3 linked regions of the Solanum lycopersicum genome follow. The protein of the gene in region 2 binds, or shares a complex with, the protein of the main gene of each other region. Links are inferred from orthologs where the notes say so. Each region holds a gene or a part of one and is shown on either strand. Other genes may lie near its edges. The genes, in order: splicing factor U2af small subunit B, serine/arginine-rich splicing factor SR45 and serine/arginine-rich splicing factor SR34A.

Region 1 (4,213 bases), on a different chromosome or scaffold from region 2:
TGTCTATCACACATCAAATGTCATAATAAGAAATCGAACCGTCGCATCATTTATTAATCGCGTTATACGTTAATCGTTTGATTCAATTTAGAAAAAGTAAAAACCAAAGAGGAGTAGCTTTTATATACTCCAACATCGACTTCTTGTATAATGATCTGAACTCATCGGATGTTGTTGTTGGTAGAGAAATAATAAAAGTTATACATTAATTGGTCTATCTAATATATAAATGAGAAAATTATACATAATGACAAATTATTAAATTATATGTAATGATACAATCACATTTTGATTTTTATTGTGCATGTAACAAACTGTTTGTCGGTTACTTCTTTTCTTCAAACTCTCGCTCGCCACTCTCCCTCTCTTGCTTCATCTCTCGCTCGCTCCTCTCACTTTTTTATACAAACACAAGTATATAAAATACGTTTGTGTTTGTATAAAACGAGAAAAAATTGTATATATACATATATTTTTGTTACCCTCTCCCAGATCTCGCTCGCCACCCTCGCCTCTATCGCTTATACAAATAGAAATGAAATGTATAAATTGTGTTTCTGTTTGTAAAAGCGAGAGAAAATTGTATATACACATGCAAATACATATATATTCATCCTATATACACTGATAATTATACAATACAAATATTCCACTGCCTAATTTTCTTTTGTCTTTCTCGTTTTAAACATACACAAATTATACAATTGATTTGTGTATAACTGCTTTCTTTTGTTTATGTATAGCAAATTATACAATCGATTTCATTGTATATGTATAGTGAATTATATATGTATAACGAAATATAAAATATTATGTTTTCTATGGAGCACAATTATACAAATTTTACTATAGCATACAAATATGGATTTTGTGTTTGCTATATGTGAAGATTGCTCTATATAAAACATAACAAAATTTGCATACTCAAACATTAACTTCTCATCCAATGACCTGAACTCAATGAATGTCGAGAAATAAAAAAAAAGTTATACACTAATCAATCTATTCAATATAATAAAAAAAAAGAAGTAGCTTTTACGTACTCCAACACTGGCTTCTCGTCCAACGACTTGAACCCATTGAATGTCGTCGTGCTCACCAGAGAAACAAAAAAAAAGGTATGGTGACCATGGGGTCGAATATAAAACGTAACATAAAAAGCAATAACTTTTACGTACTCCATCACTGATTTCTCATTGCCCACCGAAAAGATGAAAAAAAGGTATGGTGACCATGGGGTGAGGGGCGAATATAAAACGTAACATAAAAGGAGTAGCTTTTACGTATTCCAACGACCTAAAACCATCGAATGTTGTCGTACTCAGCGGAAAAATTAAAAAAAAAGGATATGGTGGCTGTGGGGTTCGAACCCACGCGCACTTATGTGCAGAAGATCTTAAGTCTTCCCCCTTAACCACTCGGGCAAACCACCTGAACATTTACAAATTTCACTCTCAATTTATCTAATCACAAATTTTGTGTAGAATTATCTAGAAGCTTCTTCATCGTATATAGTCCCTCTTCATCTTCATCTTCATCTTCTTCTTCTCTACAATTCCAGAAGAAGAGAACTTTCCAGAATCTCAAATTGGTAATGGCAGAACACTTAGCTTCAATTTTCGGTACCGAAAAAGATAGAGTGAATTGCCCTTTCTACTTCAAGATCGGTGCTTGTAGACATGGAGATCGATGTTCCAGGCTCCACACGAAACCCAGTATTAGTCCGACGATTCTCCTCTCAAATATGTATCAAAGACCTGATTCAATTACCCCTGGTGTTGATGCTCAAGGCAATCCTATTGATCCTCGCAAAATCCAGGAACATTTTGAGGTATACCCATTAAGTAATTCTGCTGTAAATTACTGTTTTTGTTACGATTTGACATGGTTTATGATATGATTGCTTCTTTTGGGATATACCCAGTTAGTTTTTTCTGCTTTGTTGCTACAATTTGTTTGTTTCATGAAAAAAGACCTTTGTTTTAGGTGTTTTAGTATGAACCATAGATGAGTTTTGTGTGTTTTATGATATGGTTGCTTCTTTTTGAGGTATACCCAATTAGTTTTTTCTGCTTTTCATGCCCATCATGTTGCCTGGATTGACATGTTTTATGATATGATTGCTTCTTTTTGAGGTATACCCAGTTAGGTTTTTCTGCTTTACTTGTCTGTTGTTGCTACATTTTGTTTGTTTCATAAATAAAGAACTTTGCTTTAGGTGTTTTGTGTTTTATGAGATGATTGCTTCTTTTTGAGGTATACCCAGTTAGTTTTTTCTGATTTTACTTGTCTATTGTATTGACTACTGTTGGTATTATAGTAAGGAATGATAGTGCATTTGATATGTTGTATGATACAATTGCTTCTTCTGGAGGTATACCCAAATGGTTTATTTCTGATTTACTTGTCTATTTTATTGATTATTGTTGCTACAATTTGCTTATTTCAGGAAAAAGACCTTTGTTTTAGGTGTTTTAGTATGAGTGATAATGAATTTTGTGTGTCATATGATATGATTGCTTCTTTAGAAGGTAGTTAAGTTCTTCTGCTTTACTTGTCTGTTTTATTGGGTCATTGTTGCCTCTATATATGTGTGCTTCATGAAAAAAAGAGACTGTTATTGTAGAGGTATTATAGTATGAATGATCCGTGATTCGACATATTTTATGATATGATTGCTTCTTTTGGGGTATACCCAGTTAGATGCTTCTTTTTTCTTTTTTTTTTTGTGGTTGAAACTGGTAACTAGTTAGGTGCTTCTGTTTTATCGATCATTATTGCCACTATTTGTGTGTTTCGTGTAAAATGATCATGGATTTGATATGTTTTATGATATGATTGCTTTACTTTGAGGTGTACCCAGTTAAGTTCTTCTGTCTTATTGATCATTGTTGCCACTATTTCTGTGTTCCGTGTAAAAGAAACCTGTTGTTGTAGGAATTATAGTAAGGAATGATCATGAATTTGATATGTTATATGATATGATTGCTTCCCTTCAAGATTTAGCCAGTTAAGTTCTGCTTTACTTGTCTGTTTTATTGGTCATTCTTGCTAGTATTTGTGCAATTCATGGAAAAAAATGGAATTTTGTGAAAGATATTGTAGTATGCATGGTCGGGAATTTTGTGTGTTTTGTGATATTGACTGCTTCTTTTGAGGTATGCCCAATTGTTTTTTCTTCGTTACTTGTCTATTTTATTGGTCATAGTTGCCACTATTTGTGCATTTCATGAAAGAAAAGACTGTTGTGTAGAGGTATTATAATGATCCATGATTTGACATGTTCTATGGTATGAAATATGACTGGTTATTTTTAGGTATACCCAGTTAGGTCCTTGTGCTTTATCGATCATTATGGCCACTATTTGTTTGTTCCGTGTAAAAAGCCGTTGTTGTGGGTTTTTTAGCAAGGAATGATCTTGGATATGACATGCTCTATGATATAATTGCTTCTTTCAAGGTATACCTAGTTGTGTCTTCTATTTTATATATTGATCATTGTTGCGACCATTTGTGTGTTCCATGTAAAAAGATCGTTCTTGTAGGTATTATAGTAAGGATTAAGGAATGATCTTGGATTTGACATGTTTTATGATATGATTGCTTCTTTTGAGTAAGCTTTATGTTGAATTGGAATTGAAGCAGGGCATTGCTTTTTAGTGGTCCATAATGCTCCCTCCACCCTGAAATAGTTTTTTGCTAAGGTATTACTTATTTTGGGATGAAGGGCGTAGTAGTTAGCAAATAGCTTTGCACTTTGTGTTCTTAGAAAATATATGAGATGTAACCAATTGGATATTTGAGATATGACTTGTATGGTACTGTGGCAGGATTTTTATGAAGACTTGTTTGAAGAACTGAACAAGTATGGAGAGATTGAGAGCCTGAATATTTGTGACAATCTGGCTGATCACATGGTAGGTTTTTTGTGCTTTCTTGTAGTCATCCATTGACTGTGACTGGGGGTTTCAACTATGTATTAATGTACCCTGTGCAGGTTGGTAATGTTTATGTTCAGTTTAGTGAGGAAGAGCAGGCTGCAAATGCACTGAAGAATCTTACTGGGAGATTCTATGCCGGTAAGTTTCTATTCTTTCAAACCATATCAGTGATAAAATATTTGAATAGAGGACAAAAGAATTCAAAATGGTGAAAGAACGTGTCATGTATGAATTTTATTATCTGGACCAGGTTCATAACTACATACAACCAA
Region 2 (4,097 bases):
ATACGGGAACTTCTCTACGAGAAATATACTTGTACAGCTCTGTATGTGCTTTGATTATACTACTTCTGAACTTCGTGAGCTTCATCTGTTATAAGCCTAAAGTACGCGTGGTGTTAAGACCTTGTTCATTTTCGCTCAACCAGAGTAAGGACATTCGAGTCATTGCCTCTTGTTGCTGTCCCTGCTTTGATTGTTATCTGTATGTCATACATAGTCCACATTAAGGAAACAATGTATATATAATGGCTAGTTTACTGATCTTTGTTGTGAGCCATAATTTGCTGTGTGGTGGCTGGCATTAAGTAATGGTTTCCTATAGCTCAAATTACATCCTTTTTAGGATGTCATTTCCTCAAAAAAAAGTCTCTCAACTATCTCAAACTCTTCGACTTTATATTACTTGTTGTATACATTAACCTTTACTTTGAAGTTTCATGTTCAAATCAAATTTTTTTTCTATCTGTTCAAATCTTAATGAATATAGTTGATAATTATTGATCGAGATATGCGCAACATTATTAAAGTGGTATTAGTCCAAATGCAAACAAATAATTTGTCTAAATGTGTACGAACTAGAATTAGAAAATCAAAATGGCAAGTGTATTAGGAAATTTAGTATGTGTATAGTCATTTGTTAATTAATAATTCTTTATTTAGTATGGTTTTAAGTTTATGTATGATTGATCTATGTTATTTAGTATTATATGGTATATAACTAAATAATACTCTTTCTGTTTTAAAAAAAAAGGCCTTTAACTAGGAACGGAGTTTAAGAAAAAAAAAATTTAATGTTGTGATTCTAAATTAAAATTATGTCAAATGTATCAAAATGCCCTTTAATCTTGTGGTTTTAAATATACCACGTGAAAAGTTAAAATTAAAGTGTTACTAAAAAAGGAAAGGGGTTATTCTTTTTGAAACAGACTAAAAAAGAAACAGGGACATTTTTTTTGAAATAGAGAAAGTAGTAAATTATCGTATTAGTTATACAAAAACTATTTATACATAAATAAACATGATTAAGAACAGAATTGCTGTTAGTATATTTAATCAAATTATAATTAAAAATATATCTAAATATTACTAATCCAATTATTACAATATCTAAATATTACTAATCCAATTATTACAAAATATTTTACTAAACGATCAATGTATACTCTATCAAACGACTCGTAAGTCCCAGTGAATACTCTTTGGGGATACAGCCCACTTCGGCCCATTTGTTTTTCGGGGCTAGAAGCTGATAACCTTTTTGCCCAAATGTACTCTGTCGACAGTTCTCTGTTATTAGGGTTTATCACTGGGGTTTCGGAGTAAGCTGTTGCCAATGGCGAAACCAGGTCGAGGCCGTGCGGCTTCACCGTCAGGCTCGTCTTCTCGTTCCCGGTCTCGTTCCCGTTCCCGGTCTCGCTCTTACACTCCTTCAAACTCTCGCTCCTCAAGTTCGCGTTCTCCATCTCGATCTAGATCCCGCTCCAGATCAATTTCTTCATCTTCCTCTGCTTCCCGGAGTGCAAGTTCTCGCAGCCCTAGTCGTCGCCCTCCATCTCAACGAAAAAGGTTTTTACTCTCTCTTTCAAATGTGTATTAGTTGCATAATGCATTTCTGTAGTAATTTCCCGCTTTTTCTTTTTTATTACGTGATACTGGTAGTTTGAGATTCGTATGCCATCAGAATGTCTGATGTCGGAGAGTTAACTTGCAAACTATAGAGGAGAAATAAGCCCAAATATGCTTTAACTTCTTTGAATTGAGGTGAAGTAGTTGCTGCTGTTGGTTAATGTGCTTATGGCTGCTTGAATTATGTTAGATTTGCGAGGTTTATGACATAGAAAAGTCTTATGGTTGAAGTAGAGTCGGGCACAAGTAGCACCAAGTCGCATTAAAATTGCTAGTTGCTGAATCTGAGTCTGATTGTCGTCTGGTTAGATATAGAATGGATATATGTTCTGTAGTTTTGCATCTCAAACATTATATAGGTCAAGAGGCTATTTTTGCTATGTAATTCATAGTTGTTCCATACCTTTCCACTGTCTGAAGAGTGTTAAGCTGTGTCCTCTAATTCCTGGGCCATGTGACATAATTCTCTGCTGCACTTCGCTTCTGCAAGTGCAGATAGCTTATATTTGATAATTTATGGCATTTCCTGCTGCTTTTCTTAAGTTATTCCAACATGCAAGTAGCAAAACTAGAATATTGGTTGCATCGGTTTTGCTTTTCTTGCCTTTCTTCCATTTAGACAACAAGAAACTGATTTCAATCCTCCGCGACTGTATAAAATAGAGTTGGAAACACAACTCAAGGGTGTAACACAGTGGTGAAAGAAGTGGGCGAAAATCTTGGAGACCAAGTTTCAAATCCAACAGAGACAAAAGACATTATGTTATTTATTTCTTTCCATCTGTCTAAGCTAGATATCTAAGTATTGATAGACAGAGTCATCCGATACGTGAGGTAGCAGGTACTTGCTTGTGGAGAAGTTGAGGTAGGCACATGACTGGAATAGAAAACTGGAAACAAGATATACTATGGTTAATCTTGAAGATTGGCCTCTTTTTTGTCGTCATATATTTTTGTTTATTTGTTATTGAGCTTAGACAGGTTGGACTAGCATGAAAATTTCTTGAAATGTTGCTGTTCTATTAGTTTTCTATCTTGCAAAATAGCTAAAGTACTTCACCAATCGTCCTATTTCTGAATGATCCTAAACCCTATCCTTTATTGTTTATATGGTTTTGTTAGCCCTGCTGGAGTATCTAAGCGAGGCCGCTCGCCGCCACCACCACCAGAGTCTAAGAAAGCTTCTCCACCTCCAAGGTAATGTTGTTTGTTTTTAAGCTGAGATTCGACTTTGGTTTATTCATTGAATAACTACTTATAAACCTCTTCCAATAACATCCAAATTTCTGTTTTTTTTGGGGGGGGGGATACCTTTCTTTTCTTGGTTTGTTTTTCTCCTCTTCCAAATGAAATTAACATACAGTAGGGTGCTGGGTTATTGTGAGCTATTTTGAATGTGGACTCAGTTGCATTTATCAGATCTTTTTTTGGAGAATGCATTGCAGCTGGACACGATTGTTCATAAATGATTTCGAATGCTCTTCAATTCCTTTCCATCCCAATTACTCAGACATGCGTGCTGTTGGTGCAACATTCAGTTATGCATCACATCCATTTTGGATGCAGTTGATAAAGATAGTTACTAATACCAATATCTTCTGATGATGCAAAAATGTTACTGCATGTAGCACTTCTGACATATGCATTGATAGGCTTTTTGATGTGTAACACTTGGGATCTGATTCCAGGAAAGTATCTCCTATACCTGAGTCGCGTGTAATTCATGTGGATCAACTCAGCAGGAATGTCAATGAAAACCATTTGAAAGAAATATTTGGTATGTTCTGCACTTCTTTTTGATTAGGTGAAGTTTATTTTGCCTGAGTTGTAGAAATTCTACACTAAGCTAGGGTTGTAACTGTCAACTGATAACCCAACAGCCCGTCCAGGGTAAATAGCCCATTATATCAGGTCCATACAGAAGAACCTAACAGAACTGAAATTCGGTTTGGTATTTGGTACTTCAACAAGTGAAGAGTCTAAAACCAAAGAATTGAACGCCAACTTCTAGTTCATTACTGTGAAATGGTCCAACCTTTTGGTTATAGATTCTATTTATTCTGTTTATTTAGCCTGGTTATATGTCAGACGTTCTAGTCTAATCCTGTTATTATGAGTTAGTTGACGAGCACAAACACACTATAGATTTAGCGCTTCATGTTCTCAAAAAAAAAAAAGAACTATAGATCTAGCGCTTCACTAGTCAAAGATAGTATAGCATAAAGATCGTCTCCACAGAGATTGGTACAAATAATAATTCAATCAAATCTTGCTAATTGTTATTTAGGAGATCAAGAGAAGAGAGTTGGTTGTGGTTATTAACCATGACTATAGACTATTTGTAACTTTAAGCAATTGGTAAATACCATGCTTAATAACAATTATAGAAGATAGGGTACAAAATGGAACAGGTGCATAATGATAGCTGGAATTCTATCGTATTTGATCACATCTAAAATTTTATCTATTCTCTC
Region 3 (4,368 bases), on a different chromosome or scaffold from region 2:
TTTGATGTACTAAAAATAATATGAATCGCATGATTTCTAAAAGTAATTATTTGGTTACACAAATACCGTCAATAATACAATGAAAAGAATGTGTAAAAAATTTTGAGAGACAATTATATATTTAACCATGCTAGTACATTCATCATAAATTCTTGCGTAACTGACACAATTCATTATGTACTCTGTCTGTCCAACGATAGTTGTGTACTATTGACTTGGCACACCTATAAAGAAACTATAAATAGAAAGACAATTTTACTATACCACCCTTTGAATATAACAATGTCTTGAAAAAATGTTATAGGAAAATAATTACAATTGATAATAAGGATAACTTAAAAACTATATGTAAAATGATTCAAGGATTATATAAAGTGGACAAGTATCGCGACATCTATTTTTAGTACACTGGACAAGATTGAAGGAAGAAATTATTAATTATGCATAACATATTACTAAATAAAGTACACAAAAAGTGAAAATTATACCCAAACAAGATATTTAATATACACAAAGCTAATTCATGCATTATTTTTATAATACATCCTATCAAACAACGTGTGTATTGGTCGATTCAATTCAATTTTATGTATTATCAATTTGATTTTATCGATTTTAGATATGCTAAAACCAACTTCGTTTTACGATTTATCAGTTTTGATCCTTAACGGCTGAGTATTCGATTTAACCAATAAAAAATGCTTGTAAAACAAATATGACTTCTTTAACAATAATGTAACTTGTTAAATGCTCATAAAATATAAACAATAACAACTAACATGAAAAGATTATACAAGTGTAATACAAAGAGAAGTTAAGAGGAAAGAAATTTACTTTAGATTTTGACGTTTTGTATAATGTGAAGTTGTCCATTCAAAATCACTCTCAAGAGTAAATAGAATGCAAAATGACAAAGATAGTAACTATTCTCTTGTCCTAATTATTTGTCCACGTTTTATTTTATAGCTATTCCTAATTACTTATCCAGTTTGACAAATCAAGAATGAACATTTTTTTTTATCTATACCTCAATGAAATGACTAATTAATTTGAAAAGTGTAATTTTTTTTTATCCACTTCATAATTAATAGGGGTAAAATGATAAATTCATTACGTCATGAATTATTTTCTTAATATGTGTGTCATTTTTAAACTGGACAACTAAATATTGACCGAGAGAGTACTAACTAGTGATGCATTGATATTAATATTTAATATTTTATGTACGATAAAATAGTAAATTACTGTAGTCTTATGAGTTATTAATTTATCAAATAATCCAATATTCAAAAATCAAAATTAATCCGATAAATCAATATTTTTTTTTATTATACCATTAGAAAACTGTCAATCTAATAAATAACACAATAATAACCAATCAATAATATATTTTTTAATTTTAATTTATCGATCGATTTGATTTTTGCACAGAGAAAACTGAGATTCCAAATGGGAACTTGTGTAAATAAATCAAAGCTGAAGGGTTAAAAAGAGCTAAAATAAAAATCAAGGGAACAGATCCTACTCTGTTGGGTTTTATAACCAGAAAAAAGCCCTAAAATTAAGAACTCTCTGGAAGAAGTGCAGCACAGCACCAGGAGAGAGAACCCGACAAGAACCGGAGAAGAAGTTGAACATCAATTTCATCTGAATTTCGCCGAGCCCTAATTGAAATTCCAGGTAATATTTAGAAGATTTTTTTCTCACAGCTCTGTTCTAAGATAAGGGCACATTTGTTAATTTCTAAGAAGGGTCGAGGGTGGAAGAAACCCTAGTTACGCATCTGTAAAAATCTTACCGAATTTAGCTATTTCTGTATTTTCTGGATGTTCTGTGTTGCGAATTGATCGTTTTCTGTTTGTGGCAGAAATGGGTTCATTTCGTAATCCCAGGGTTTGTTTTAGCCTGGGTGTTGCTTCTCATTGTTCGTTGGCTTTTGCTAGAAAAGATCGAACTTTTATGGGTCATATTTGTGATGTTTCTTGTGTTACATAACAGTGTGATAGTTTTTTTTTTATCAGTGAAATTCTTACTTCAATAGCGTTTTTCCCTTCAGAGAGCTGCAACCATCATATCTGGAAGAAAATACTAGCAATAGTGGAATAAAAAGATGAATTTCTAATCGTGTAATAAGAAAATTCGGTATTCTTGGTATGGCAGAGAATATTTTATGGAATAGTTTTTTTACTCATTGAATCGTTCTCCAATGTTTATTTCCTCAATGGTTGAAAATTCACCACCAAAAGGGTGAAAACAACTTACGTCATTTTCCATTACGAATATTCTGAATCTCACTCTGTATCACTTGATTCATCCAACACATAAGGTTCGTTGTCAACTTTAATATACAAATATCTCAGCAAAATACCATCCTCCATCTTTTATGATTGCCGGGGTGGAGCCACATTACAGTTGACGGGTTTGGTAGGTTTGGCCCACATCATGTACTTTATATTCAAATTTTCTTTTAATATGTATGCATTATTTATCTAGCCTTGGTGGACAGAGTTACCGGTACCTGTTACTTGTTGCTGGTGGGGGTGGCAGTTATCCGTGGAATTAGTCGAGGTGCGAGAAAGCTGGCCAGGACACCATGTTCATCAAAAAGAAAATAAATTTATCCCGATTCCATTCTCTTCATTCTCAAAATAAATAAATAATTTATCTAGAACCCTTTTAGAAGATGCGGATGCCTTTTGTAAAATTCAGAATCTATAAATTCAATCCTAGCGCGTTTAATGATCGCCATATGATCCTGTTTTTAATCCAACCATATATTGAAAAACTATTTGGACGATGATCTGCCAAAGTAAATTCTTTTTTGCTGAAAATATGCTGCTTCATATCCAATTCGCATCTTTGTAGTCTCCACAGTTCAAAGTTCAAACAATGTTTTACTGACCATTGGTAACCTAAAAATCTTTTTCTTTTTGAGAATTGGTGACTTAGAGATCTTATCGAATCTTAGGTTAAGGGAAATAACATCAGTTGCACTAAACTGGTTTTATGTTAAACTTAAACAGGAAAGGTATATATTGCATGCCTTGTAGGATAATTTCTCAGTGATCTTTAAAATAATTAAGAAAAGGGAAAATGCATTAGTATGTCGCGATCTCACCTCATCTTATGACATAAATGCTTTCTTTATGATAGATTTCAAGCGCTTGGAACAAAAATGAGCTTTGGAATCATACATAGGGATGTATTTGGGGGAGTGGGACAAGTCAGGGTGGAGTATTTGGGTTTTATGTATAGTTGGAGGTTCTTCCTCACTCTCAGAAGAGCTATCATCTGCAAAAATTTTGAGTGGATGAGGAGATCAAATATTAGTTCAAATAATTTTTGCTTGTGGAGCATCTTGGAGCATATGAGCAATGGAGCTTGTGGAGCATTAGCTTAACTTGGGATATTTCTCTTGGTTTCATAATTTTTCTGTTTGAATCTATAATTTTGGAGCATCATGGAGCATTTGAGCAATGGAGCTTGTGGAGTACAGCTCAATTGAAGGATTGCTCTCTTGGTTTGCTTCAGAATTTTTCTGCTCGATTCTGTTATCATCAAGTCAAATACAGAATGATATAAATTTATCCATAATTGTTTAATTATTTCTCTTCAGTGTTTAGTGGAATCATGAAAATTGTTTATAAGTTACATCTGTTTGCAGTTTTCTGTGAATCCTCCCTTCATTGCTGAGAATGAGTGGCCGCTTTTCACGCTCAATCTACGTTGGCAACCTACCAGCAGATATAAAGGAACTGGAAGTTGAAGATCTGTTCTACAAGGTCTGTCACATTCACTTATTTAAACACTTAGCTGCAAAGGCTTATTTTCTTGTGGAGAAGTTAGTTATTATCAATCGTAATTATCTCCTAGGGCTCTGGATTCAACCTTCAATGCATAAGTTATACTTGTAAACAACAAAAAAACAACAGCCTCGCATCATTATAAAAAAAAAAACAAACAGCCTCACCCGAGATTATATTGCAGATGAATGCATTCCTAGATATGCTTGTTCCCTGAGTTTCATTACAATGCCATCTGTATAATGGATTTTTTTGATTTGCCTCTTATATGTGAAATTTTAGAACAAGAAAGCCTAAGTGTAGTTTCATAAGAGAATCTGTTGCAGTACTAGTATCAATATTAGGTTGTGGTTGAAAACAAAGTTTGATGGTGAGGGAGGCTTCTTCTCTGGTATCTTGCACTGCATGCTCCTTGCCTCTTATTTTTCCTATTTTAGATTCGGTCTTTCTTCCATACTTGCTACTCTAGGCTTTAGGCAGTGGTGCTCAATACCACTAGTATTCTGTTTACCCGATTGAGGAGAGTAAACAGTTGGGAGGCATCGATTTGGAAGCATTCAGCCTT

The links.
Region 1: serine/arginine-rich splicing factor SR45 (region 2) and splicing factor U2af small subunit B share a complex: the UniProt entries of both Arabidopsis thaliana proteins name them as parts of the spliceosome. The link is inferred for Solanum lycopersicum from reciprocal best matches to the Arabidopsis thaliana genes SR45 and ATU2AF35A.
Region 3: serine/arginine-rich splicing factor SR45 (region 2) and serine/arginine-rich splicing factor SR34A share a complex: the UniProt entries of both Arabidopsis thaliana proteins name them as parts of the spliceosome. The link is inferred for Solanum lycopersicum from reciprocal best matches to the Arabidopsis thaliana genes SR45 and SR34a.

What each region holds. Positions count from the first base shown.
Region 1 is NC_090810.1:58,042,184-58,046,396, forward strand, and holds the start of splicing factor U2af small subunit B, read left to right. Parts: upstream 1-1,412; 5' UTR 1,413-1,594; coding exon 1,595-1,831; intron 1,832-3,830; coding exon 3,831-3,917; intron 3,918-3,997; coding exon 3,998-4,079; intron 4,080-4,213. UniProt on the Arabidopsis thaliana protein: Necessary for the splicing of pre-mRNA. Probably active at the 3' splice sites.
Region 2 is NC_090809.1:751,268-755,364, reverse strand, and holds the start of serine/arginine-rich splicing factor SR45, read left to right. Parts: upstream 1-1,230; 5' UTR 1,231-1,330; coding exon 1,331-1,563; intron 1,564-2,745; coding exon 2,746-2,820; intron 2,821-3,311; coding exon 3,312-3,400; intron 3,401-4,097. UniProt on the Arabidopsis thaliana protein: Involved in 5' and 3' splicing site selection of introns, and may bridge the 5' and 3' components of the spliceosome. Isoform 1 is required during flower petal development and isoform 2 is involved in root growth.
Region 3 is NC_090802.1:49,075,738-49,080,105, reverse strand, and holds the start of serine/arginine-rich splicing factor SR34A, read left to right. Parts: upstream 1-1,496; 5' UTR 1,497-1,680; intron 1,681-3,153; 5' UTR 3,154-3,520; intron 3,521-3,664; 5' UTR 3,665-3,695; coding exon 3,696-3,782; intron 3,783-4,368. UniProt on the Arabidopsis thaliana protein: Probably involved in intron recognition and spliceosome assembly.